Mus musculus: one gene and its partner. The protein of the gene in region 1 binds, or shares a complex with, the protein of each later gene. Links are inferred from orthologs where the notes say so. Each region holds a gene or a part of one and is shown on either strand. Other genes may lie near its edges.

What was found. The genes of interacting proteins can lie anywhere in the genome.
Region 2: Polr2l (region 1) and Ubtf share a complex: the UniProt entries of both Homo sapiens proteins name them as parts of the pol I pre-initiation complex. The link is inferred for Mus musculus from reciprocal best matches to the Homo sapiens genes POLR2L and UBTF.

Annotation. Positions count from the first base shown.
Region 1 is NC_000073.6:141,472,002-141,477,197, reverse strand, and holds the start of Polr2l (DNA-directed RNA polymerases I, II, and III subunit RPABC5), read left to right. Parts: upstream 1-2,044; 5' UTR 2,045-2,075; coding exon 2,076-2,170; intron 2,171-3,793; coding exon 3,794-3,902; 3' UTR 3,903-5,196. UniProt on the Homo sapiens protein: DNA-dependent RNA polymerase catalyzes the transcription of DNA into RNA using the four ribonucleoside triphosphates as substrates.
Region 2 is NC_000077.6:102,315,821-102,321,231, reverse strand, and holds the start of Ubtf (nucleolar transcription factor 1), read left to right. Parts: upstream 1-2,135; 5' UTR 2,136-2,384; intron 2,385-3,176; exon of another isoform or gene 3,177-3,650; intron 3,651-3,944; exon of another isoform or gene 3,945-4,058; intron 4,059-4,526; exon of another isoform or gene 4,527-4,758; 5' UTR 4,759-4,825; coding exon 4,826-4,883; intron 4,884-5,411. UniProt on the Homo sapiens protein: Recognizes the ribosomal RNA gene promoter and activates transcription mediated by RNA polymerase I (Pol I) through cooperative interactions with the transcription factor SL1/TIF-IB complex.

The DNA of each region.
Region 1 (5,196 bases):
AATCATCGGTTTTCCTCGTCCCCTGCCCTGAAGTGACCCCCTCCTCTGGCAGGAACTGTGGCAAATGGGTTAAAAACTGCGTATGAGCACATCTCGCTCAATGCGCCCTCCACCCTGTACAGTAGATTGAGCATCCATTTGCTAGGCAGACACTGGTCAGTTTGCAGTGGGGAAACAGCAGAGCTGAGACTGTAAGTATCCTACATCTCTCTCCCGCCACTGGGAGTTAAGAAACGGTAGAAGTAGGGGCAGAAGCTGAGCCTGGGATCCCTGCCAGGGCTCTGGAGAGAACTGACCCACAGCATATCCCCCCCCACTCCACCCCCATCCCACACAGCACTCCAGGATGAGCAAAGTCTGGGTGAACAGCCTGGAGTCCTCTAGCCTGGGCCATTTCTGGGAATCCAGGGAGCTGGAGCAGGAACTAGGGGAGGAGAGGATGCCACCACCCACGATAGCCACTGGAAACTGTGGGCTTGCGCGCGCGCGCGCACACACACACACACACACACACACACACACACACACACACACACACACGGGAATTCCAGGAATGTCAACTTGGCACAGGCTTCTACTCCCCAACTCTCCCTAAGTAAACAAGTCTTCCAGGGGCCGGACCGAACTGAGAGCCCCTCCTCCAAGCCTTTGGCCTCCACCCCATCCCCTAGGGCAGACCCTACAGACCATCTCCTATCCCACTCCCCTGCCACCCTCACCTCTGGCCACCAGCAGTCTTCAGTCCAGATCTTGAGCCTGATCCCAGGCCACAGTGACTCACAGGCCCCCACTGCCCCCTCTGGCCAGGGCAGGATGTTGGGGGGAGGGGACAGGACCGGGAAGTCGCCTAGCTCGTGGCTCTGCACGTGGCTCCATGGGGGATGGCAAAAGCTGCCAGGGAGGCTGTCCAGGGTGACATCGGGGGCACAACCACCAAGCTGGCCAGTGGCTCCGACCAGCCACACTCAAGACCCAGGAGACCCCTCCCGACCTCCCCTCCATCGTTTGTTTCCCAGAGGCACCTGGAAAATGTCTAGGACCCCCCAGAGCCTTCACTGTAACCAGATCTCAAACTTCCCAAGCTCTATCGAACTTCTCCAGCTTCTCACTGCAAGCTGCCTCGTTTTCCTAAGGGTAGCTCCCAACACACAAGAAGGCGGCCAAGGTGATACACTCCCCAGAAACCAGCTCCTTGCCCATTCCCTTAAGTCCTTAAGTCACGTCCAGGTGAGGCAGACCTGTGGCCACTAGCAGTCTCGCACGCAATCTCCGCGTCTGAGCCAAATATCCCGGGAAAAAGAGGTTAGAAGGTCTGTTCATAGGGTGCCTCCTCCATGACGCCTTCCCGGACCACCGCCCTGCTCCTCTCCCCAGGAAAAGACCCTTCTCAGAGGAGAGGACTGTACTGAGCGCGGGAGGCCGCCGTCGGGGCTCGGGACACCGTACCGCCGACGGTTCTGCAGCGGCCGAAGAGAAGGACGCCCCAAACTCCAAGGCCCGGACTCTGCCTGGGCACCTCGGGTAAGGGCTCCAGACCGAGACCCCTTGGAGTCCGGGCCAGGAGGCGGGAAGACCGCCTTGGCCGTGGACAGTCGGCAGCCCGCTCTCCGGCTGCGCCACCACCACTTGTTAACCACCTCTTGGCTCCAGTCGGCTTGCGATCCGGCCAGCGGGACCCCAGCCCGCTAGAACCGCCGTACCTGTGCGCGCCGCCGCACGGCGGAGCAGCTGTCAGTCAAGGCAACACGAGAAACGCGAACCGCCGGCCGCGGACCTTTCGGCCTTGCTCGGACGCCGTAGCGCCGGGATCTACCACCACAGCGGGAGGGGGGGGACCGGGATGCTGCCGCGGGCTCGGAGGCTCTCGGAGCCCCGGGTGGGCACGAGCAAGGAACACCGCCGCTTCAGGGTAATCATGGGAGCCGGGGCAGGGCTGCGGCGGGATTCAGGGAGATGCGGGGCGGGGCTCTGGATCTTACGGGGCGGAGCTAGGGCGTAATGAGCCCCGCGCTATGGGCGCGCCTGGGGCGGGCCTTGAAAAGCTACTGCCGGCAGCCTGCACGCCAGACGCCGCCATGATCATCCCGGTGCGCTGCTTCACCTGCGGGAAGATCGTCGGCAACAAATGGGAAGCCTACCTGGGTCTGCTGCAGGCCGAGTACACGGAGGGGTGAGACGGCGGGCCGCGGGGGATGGGACAGGACGGGAAGGCTGGACTGGGGGCATGAAGTCGAGGGGCAATGGGGAGGGTTCTGCGGCGGACCGGGAGTGAAATTGAGGTGTCCTGGGCCGGGGGTAGATAAGATTTCCTATGGAGAATTGGCAGGGCAGGGGTTGTGGGGTCTAGTGAGAAGACTGGATGTCCTCCAGCCCAGACCTGTGATGTATTCCCAGAAGAGTGAGTCTTTAGTTTGTTTTCGAGGCAGGATTTCGGTGGCTGACCTGAATTCTCTATGTAAAGCAGTCTGGTCTGAAACACTTCGAAATCCTGCCTGTCTCCTGGATGTTGGGATTAAAGGCGTGCAATATCACGCCCAGGCTCTCAGAAGTTTGGAAGGTGGTTTTCTTCAAGTTGCTGGCCTTTGGGAAACTTCTAAGCATCCTTCCCGTGGGTGACACCTCAAGTCTCTTCCCTGTCGACCTACTCTCTATCCTCTATCTGCTTTCCGACCTACCCCTTATGTACTTCGAACCTCGTGGGCCCTTTAAAATGCAGGACAGGCTTTGTGGGCATCGTCTTGTGCTCACTACTATGACTGTCCCCCAAAATAGACCTCTGGCCACCATGTCAACACCAAGGGGTTCTCTTTCTCTGCACAAGCCATAAGTCAGTGGGGCTTAATGAGCAGCTATTAGATCAGCTCTGATGAGTAGCTGCTAGCCTTCTGGGACCCTCTTTCACTTGGGCAGGAACCTCTCAAGCTGTCTAGGTCCCAGAGAAATTAAATCTAGTGTGAGTTCAAAGCCTGTGGGGTAGCAACAACCAGTTCATGGCGTTTAGTCAGAGTCCACCTGTGGGGCCTGGAATTGTACTCCTTGATGAGGGGATATTGGTCTCCTAAGCTTTCCCAAATAACCCTGGAAGCCCATAACCCTGGGTACAAGAGACAAACGCAGAGATACAGGGGGTTAGAGAGATGGCCCAACTGTTTTTTTTGTTGTTGTTTTGTTTTTCAAGACAGGGTTTCTCTGTGTAGCCCTGGCTGTCCTGAAACTCACTTTGTAGCTCAGGCCGGCCTCGAACTCAGAAATTCACCTGCCTCTGCCTCTACCTCCCAAGTGCTTGGGATTAAAGGTGTGCACCACCACACCCAGCTAGATGGCTCAACTGTTAAGAGCACTGGCTGTTTTGTGTGTTTGGTTGTTTGATTGTTTTTTAAGAGGACTCAGGTTCCGTTCCTTGAAGCAACATGGTATCTCGCAAGTGTCCGTAACTCCTTTGGGCTTTGGGAGCATCAGGCACCCATACACATAAAACGAAATTTTAAAAAACAGGTGTAGGCAGAAGGCTGTTAAGGATGGATACAGGATGCTATGGGAGAAGACTGGCACATGAGCAGGTGTAACTTCTAGGTGGGGAAAGGGTCACCTGGCTCCTCCCTGAGCATCTAGATACATATTTCAGAAATCTCCAGGCCATTTCCCTATGGCCTGGTGTCAGGTTTCAATCGCTGATTATGTAGATGTGCTCTGGTAACCCCTATCCACACGAATACCCAGAGGCAAGCTGGAGGTGGTTCCAAACCTATCCAGACTCTAGAGACCACATCCAGCCTCACTCTTCTCTTTACAGGGATGCCCTGGACGCTCTGGGCCTAAAGCGCTACTGCTGCCGCCGCATGCTGCTAGCACACGTGGACCTGATTGAGAAGCTGCTGAACTATGCACCCCTAGAGAAGTGACCGCTGGAGCCTGCCCTCCTCTGTCTCCTGCTGGCCACGGGCAGCCTGTCGTGCTATGTTCAAACTGAGCTATTGGGGATGTTGGTGTATTGCCTGGCTGTGGCCCTGTGGCTAAGTCCTGTTACCCTGGAAGGAACTGTTTAGTAAAGATGTTTGCAGAACCACCAACAGGTCTAACTTCCAAGGTGCTCCATGTCCATGTCTGTGCTGTCTCTGAGGCTACCTGGCCTGCCTCCAGTCTTTCCCCTAGGGCTGGTCTCCTTCCCCTTCATCTGACTGGGAGTCTCGTCCTGTGGAGGAGTACCCTGCTTCCGTTCCCCGGGGCCTTGACCACTTTGATCAACGAGGTAGCCCTACAGTAGTCTTGTACCACATTGCTTTAGGGCCTCTCCGCTTCCTGCCTGTGTTCAGGATGGGCATAATGGATGTGGGCACCACACCATCCACAGGTATGGATGGGCCCAAGCCTGGTGACAATATTCCTTTGGAATGCTGAGCGTGCTTGGAGGTCCCAATCCTTGTGCTAGGGTTATTATGCATTTGGGTATTTGGTCTGCTTATAAGTCTTTGTATCACTGTGTCCCCACAGAGGCCAGATCCCCTGAGAGTAAAGTTATAGAATGTATAAGCTGCCATCAGGTATTGGGAATCAAACCCAGATTTATTTACCTTTCATTTTCCAAGACAGGGTTTCTCTGTTTGGCCTTGACTATCCTGGAATTCAACTCTGCAGACCAGGCTGGCCTTGAACTAAAGAGATCAGTCTCTGCCTCCCGAGTGTTGAGTTTAAAGGACGGCTTGTGCCACCCAACCAAACCCAGATACTGTAGGAGTACGCCCAAGGCCACAGGCCTCACGAATTTCTTGGGTCCTAAAGCCCATCAGCTGTGTGAGCCTATCTGCTGCCCATGCCTGAGGATCTTGTTTCCAGAATCTTCCCAGGCCCGACAGCTAGGCAGCCCTGCCCCTTGACCCAATCCCCACAGCATGTAGTCCTAAGAAGCCTACTCTAGGCCAAAGGAGGTGGTGTAGTGCTTTAGCTCCTAGGCATCTGCATCAAGTACCCCGGGTTCTTTCTAGCACATTGATCCCTTTGAGAATTTTGGTGGGTTTTTTTGTTTTGTTTTTTGAGACCAGCTTTGGCTGGTTTGAAACTCACAACAGTCAGCCTGCCTTTACCTCTTGGATTCTGGGATTAAAGGTGTGTGTGGCATAGCATACCCACCCTACCCCACCCCTGGTTTTTTGTTGTTTTAAAGAAAAAGGCGGGCTGGTGAGATGGCTCAGTGGGTAA
Region 2 (5,411 bases), on another chromosome or scaffold:
ATAAAAAATAAAATATTAAAATCTCAGCAATTGGGAGGCAGAGGCAGGCAGATCTCGGGTTAAGTGCGAGGCTGGCCTGGTAAACAGAGCTAGCTCTAGGAGAGCCAAGGCTACACAGAAAAACCCTGTCTCAAAAATCCAAACGAAACAAACAAAATAATTTAAGAACAGACTCTTCAGTAGGTCATCCAAGGAAGAGGCCTTGAAGGCTACCCTTCTTTATCACGGCCAATCTGCCTCTCCTACACGCGGTGCTTCTAAGCTGAGCACAGCAGATCTGTTCCTGCAACGTGGCAGAGTGGGATGTGGAAATCCTGGGAAAGAAATCTCATTTTCCCCAGGAGACAAGAGGAATTACACCAGCAACGAAACTGTGGATGGAGAAGGCAGTGTGCCAAGAAATGGTCCAAAGAGACTGTGCGACCCAGCTGGCTGAGATGTGAGCAACAGCAGTGTTATTGTGGCAGCCCGAGGAGCCAGGAGCCATGGCGTGTCCCGGGGAGTGATGACACAAACCAAGCGTGGGCCGACCTGGTGGAAACCAGCGTCCTTCACATTGCCTTCTGCCTCCCTACAACTAATCCTGATATCCCTTCAGCCCACTAGCAGGGGAGGTAAAGACCACTAGAACCGATGGCAGTGGGAGGTTAAAAAGCGGCACACGCCCAGGCCTTTTCTCCCCAGACTTGCTGGATGGTGGAATACGGGAGGTTAGATCTGTGGTTGCCGGGCTGCTCAAATCCTGCCTTAAACCGGGGTGCGGAGCTCTCTTGTGGGCTCCCCGTCGTCGCCGGGGTGGGGGGACAGCGCCCGCGGCCTGCTTTCTCAGGGCTGGCCAAGCCTTTTTGACAAGCTGATTGCGAGAAGGGGATTGGCTGATCCAGGCGTGACGCCGGTAACAACAAAGGTGGAGTTGGAAGAAATTAGATTAAAGGAAAGGAGGAGAAAAAAAAAAAATTAAAGGGGGAGCTTGCAGGCAACTGGAAGCAGAGACCGAGGGGGAGACGCACGAAGCTCCGTTCCCGGTTCCGACTTCCCCCTTCCAGCTCTTTCGCACAAACGCGCTGGGATTTTGCTCTAAACCCCTACCCCGGTCGCGGCCTAGTTACTGAAGCCCAGGGTAAAGGGATGGCCGTTCCGCTGCTTCTTGAAAAACCTCCCCAACTCCCACTGACACCCTACTACGACACAGGGGTGAACTTTTTGTTCTTAACTCCTCGGATCATACGGCCGGTGAAGATGGGGGACATCGAGAACAACCCAAGACTGGCTCTGAAATCCGGAAGGCCCTCGCCGGGCACCGAGACCCAAACGAGGCGGGGTACTTCCCGGGTATTTTCATACGTTGCAAACCTAGGAGGCTTTTTTTTTTCCCTTTTTCTTTTTTGTAACATTCCCCTTCGCCCCCATCCCGCTTTAGCTTCAGGGTTGCAAAAGCAAAGCAATAAAAAAAAAAAAAAAAAGAGAGAGAGAGAAAACCTGCGCACACAGACACACACCAGTGGCGACAGGGGAGAGTTGGAAAAACGCAGGAGAGGAGGAGGCAGGAGACAGCAAGGATGGAGCAATGGGAGAGGGAGCAGGCAGGATCCCTCACAGATCCCCCTCCGGCCTCAAGCTGCCTTGCCCGCCCCGACAGGAGAGCGAGGAGTCGGGCAAGCAGATGGAGTGGAGCTCGCTCTAGGCAGCTGGCTTGGCCGGAGACTGGAGGAGCCGCCAAGCGACCGGCTGATTGGAAGAGAAACGCAGAGCGATGGAGGCGGGGGTAGGAGGACGATTTCTCTGCGGGGACTGGCGGCGGCGTACACGCCCGGGTCGGGCGCTGCAGAGCTTGGCTAGCTTTCAACCCGCGCTCGGCGGCTCCAGCCCCGCGCACCCCCGCCCCCAGCCCTGCCGGAGGCCCCGCAGGTGAGTGGGAGCTGGGAGCCAAAAAAGAGCTAAATGTCGAAAAACATCTGCCTTGGAAAAAAAAAAAAAAGCAAAAAACATTTTTTTTTTTTTTTTTTACTATTCCTTTTTTTAAAATTTCGTGCAGCCCCCGAGCGGTGGGAGGGAAGGGGTGAGGCTGAGCCGCCCGGAGGAGGCGGAGGGGCCAGGCGAGGCCGGGGCGGCCCGGGAGGCGGCGGCGCCAAGGCGGCTCTGACGGGCGAGCGCTCGGAGCGGCGCTGCGCTGCGCTGCGCCGAGGCGGGCGGGCGGGCGGGCGGAGCGGGGCGGGCGGAGCGCGGCGCGTGGGGCTCGCCATTAGCCGTCGCTCCGCTTCGCCATCTCGGGCTTTGTCTGGAGACTCGCTGCCCGGGCGCCGGCAGCTGCGGAGCTGCGGCTCGGCTCTTCCGCTTGCCGTGCTGCCTGGCGCCCCCGGCCCTCACTAGCACCCACTTGCTCGGTAAGTAAGCCTCGGTGCCGCGGATTTCGGGGGAAAGGGGTTGCTCTCTGGCGGCGCCAATCTCCGTCCTCCACGCGCCCGGGAAGGCCTGGATAGCCATGCCGGGCTGGATTGAACCGGCTCCCAGAGTGACTCTTCCGCTGGGGTCGGCAGCTCCTGGCCGATTCCCGGGTGTGAGGAGGGACGGGAGAGGTTTTTGTTGTTTAGGGGACTAAGAATATATATTTTAAGTTTCACGGGTGTTCTGCGGAGCATAAGGGAACCGAGAGGTAGGCGCCGAAACCTCGCACCGCGATCCGGGAGCGTGAGTCCCAAGCCGGTAGCCACGCTCCGGGGACCAGGGTGGTCGCTAGCCCGCTCCCGGAGGCGGGAGAGAGGAGCAGATGAGGACTAGGCCGGGAAACCGAGCTTAAGCTGGGAGAGCCTGGAAGAGAGCTCCAGAGCAGGGTTGCCGGCACCCGCGAGGCTCGCCGGCCACCCTCTCCACCGCCGCACCTCGGCCCTCCCTTCCTCCCGCGCCGGCCAAGCCTGCTAGTTCCCCCGCGGGGCTGGCGAGGTCGCTTTAGCCGCCCGCTTGCTCGCCCGCCTCGGCTCGCAGCCCCGCCGCCATCCGGGCGGCTGCGTGTCTTCCCTGTCCCGGCCCCCCCCTTCCCCGGCGGCAGCAACAGCAGCAGCCGCCGCCGCCACTACCACCACCCCCCTCCCCTCCTTCCTTGCCTCCGCCTCGGCCGCCCGGGTCCCCCCAGCGCCCGCCCCTCCTCCCAGCTGCCCCCCGCGGAGCCCGCCCGGGCAGGCTGTGGGAGGGAGCGGAGCCGGCGAGGCGGGCGGGCTGGCGCTCGCTCCCCGGGGGTCGGTGTGCGCTCTACGGGGAAGGACGCGCTCGCTGCCCCGCTTCTCCCGCCCCCCCTCCCGCTCCTCCTCCTCCCTTCTCCCTCCTCCCCGCTCCGGCGGCGGAGGCTGCTGCGGCGGCGGGGGGTGTGCGAGCTGAGGCCGGGGCCGGCGGGCGGGCGGGCGGGCTGCCTGCAGGCGGAGGGCGCTGTGCTTTGTGCTTTTCGCCGCGAGGAGCAGCAGGCAGCAGCCACAGCCGCCGCCGCCACAGCAGCAGCAGCAGCCGCCGCCCCAGCGCCGCCGCCGCGCCCGGAGGAGGAGCCGCTGCCGCCGCGGGAGGGAGTTGCGGCTGTGCCCGGCCGAGCGGGGGAGGGCGCCGCGCTCAGAGCCGAGAAGGGAGCCGCCGGAGCGGGGAGCTCAGAGGCCGCGCTGCGCCGGGTAACCGAGGCGGCGGAGGACGTGCGCCGGGGCCGGGGCTAGGGAGCGAGCCGCGGCTGCGGTAGACGCCGAGTGGCGATACCGGGAGAACTGTAGACAAGATGATCAGGGAACGGGGAAGGGCGCCGTGAGCCGGGGGTAGGAAGGGCAGGAAGCGAGGCCCAAGTGAGGCCCCGGGTGGAGGAGCCCGCGTTTCTCCGGCCGACAGGCGCAGTTCTCGCCGGCCGCCGGAGGGGGCGGCGGGGCCGGTGAGCGAAGCGCCCCCGCCTCGCGGCCGCCGTCCTCCCGCCCTCTGCTTGGCTCGGCTCCCCGGAGGCCGGGGCGGGGGCGCCGGCAGGGCTGGGCCGCAGGCTCGGGGAGGAGGCGGCCGTTCCCGCCGCGGTCGCGCCTCTGCGCCGGGTTTCTTCCGTGCGTGTTGGGGTGGCTGGGTGGTGGCGGCGGCGTCTCCGGCCCCGGGTGGTTCGGGGACGGGGGACAAGCTAGGCCGCTTCTCCGACTGCTCGCCTGCCCGGACAGGCGGGGACCGCGTTGGGAGGTCGGGAGGGGGGTAGCAGCGGGAATCCAGATCTAGTCCCCGGGGGCGGTCCGGCCGCTGCGCTCCCGGGCTGGCGGCGGCTGCGCGGCGTCCGGGTCCCCGCCGGGTTGCGGAGGCGGGGGGAACCGGCCGGGGAAAAGCGGGAGGAGGAGACTGAGGCGCGTGCCCGCTTCCATGCCCGCGCGCGCCCTTTACCCGCCCTTCCTCCCCCGCCCTCCAGCCTGGGGCCTCCCCGGGGCGGGCGCTCACCGAGGAGGAGGAGGAGGAGAATTTTTTTTTTTTTTTTTTGCCCGGGTGGGGGAAGGAGGCCGGAGGGCGGGAGCTAGCTGCACGCGGGAGCTGGGAGCAGTCTCTCGCGTGGGCAGGGGAGGGCGCATGCGGCACCGCCTGGCTCTGGGGGCTGGGGTAGAGAAGAGTGGGGCTCACTCCTGCACCCACTGATGAAGTCTATGAGCCTCCTGTTCGGGTCTCGCTGAGAGTGTGGACCTATGCCCCCTCCCATGTGTGAGGGGGTGGGATAGAAAGCCCCCCTCCTCTCAGCCTCCTTAAGTGGGTTTGGTGTCTCTTCAAAAGGGTGAGGTGGCTTTGACCCCGGGTGGCCCGGCCAGCGCGACCGAGGAGGTGGCTGGACAGCTGGAGAATGAACGGAGAAGCGGACTGTCCCACAGACCTGGAAATGGCCGCCCCCAAAGGCCAAGGTATGGGTCCCCAGCTTCTCTTTTCAAACTTGTCTTTTTTCACACACGAGCTCTCCAGCCTTGTAAAAGGTTCCTCTCAGGCTTCGTTCTGTGCACTGGCAGACAGTCTTAAGTCTTAGAAAGTGAAGCATCTGTCACATGGGGGTTTGGCCAAATCCAAATTACTTGGCCTTGAGCTTAGAACTTGAGTCTTTACGATCTCTTGCTATGAATGAGGGTCACAGGGAAGACTCTTGGAAGCCAGCCTTCTTGGTTTCTTAGCTTGAAGTATCACACCTTAGTGGAGATTTTCACTAGAGGCAGGTGGAAAACAGGGAAGGGGATTGTGGTTTATGGCTCCAAGCCTTAGGAATTATAGATGCCCCGACCCTAGCCACCTCTGTCAGCAGTGTTATGTTTATGACATGGAGGGTAGTAGGAAACTGGGCATCTGCCAATGTTTGTGAGACATCAGGGGAGAGAGGATTATGGGCCATGTGACCCTTTTCTGCGGAAACCGGCCCAGGTTACCAGATGCAAATGAAAGTC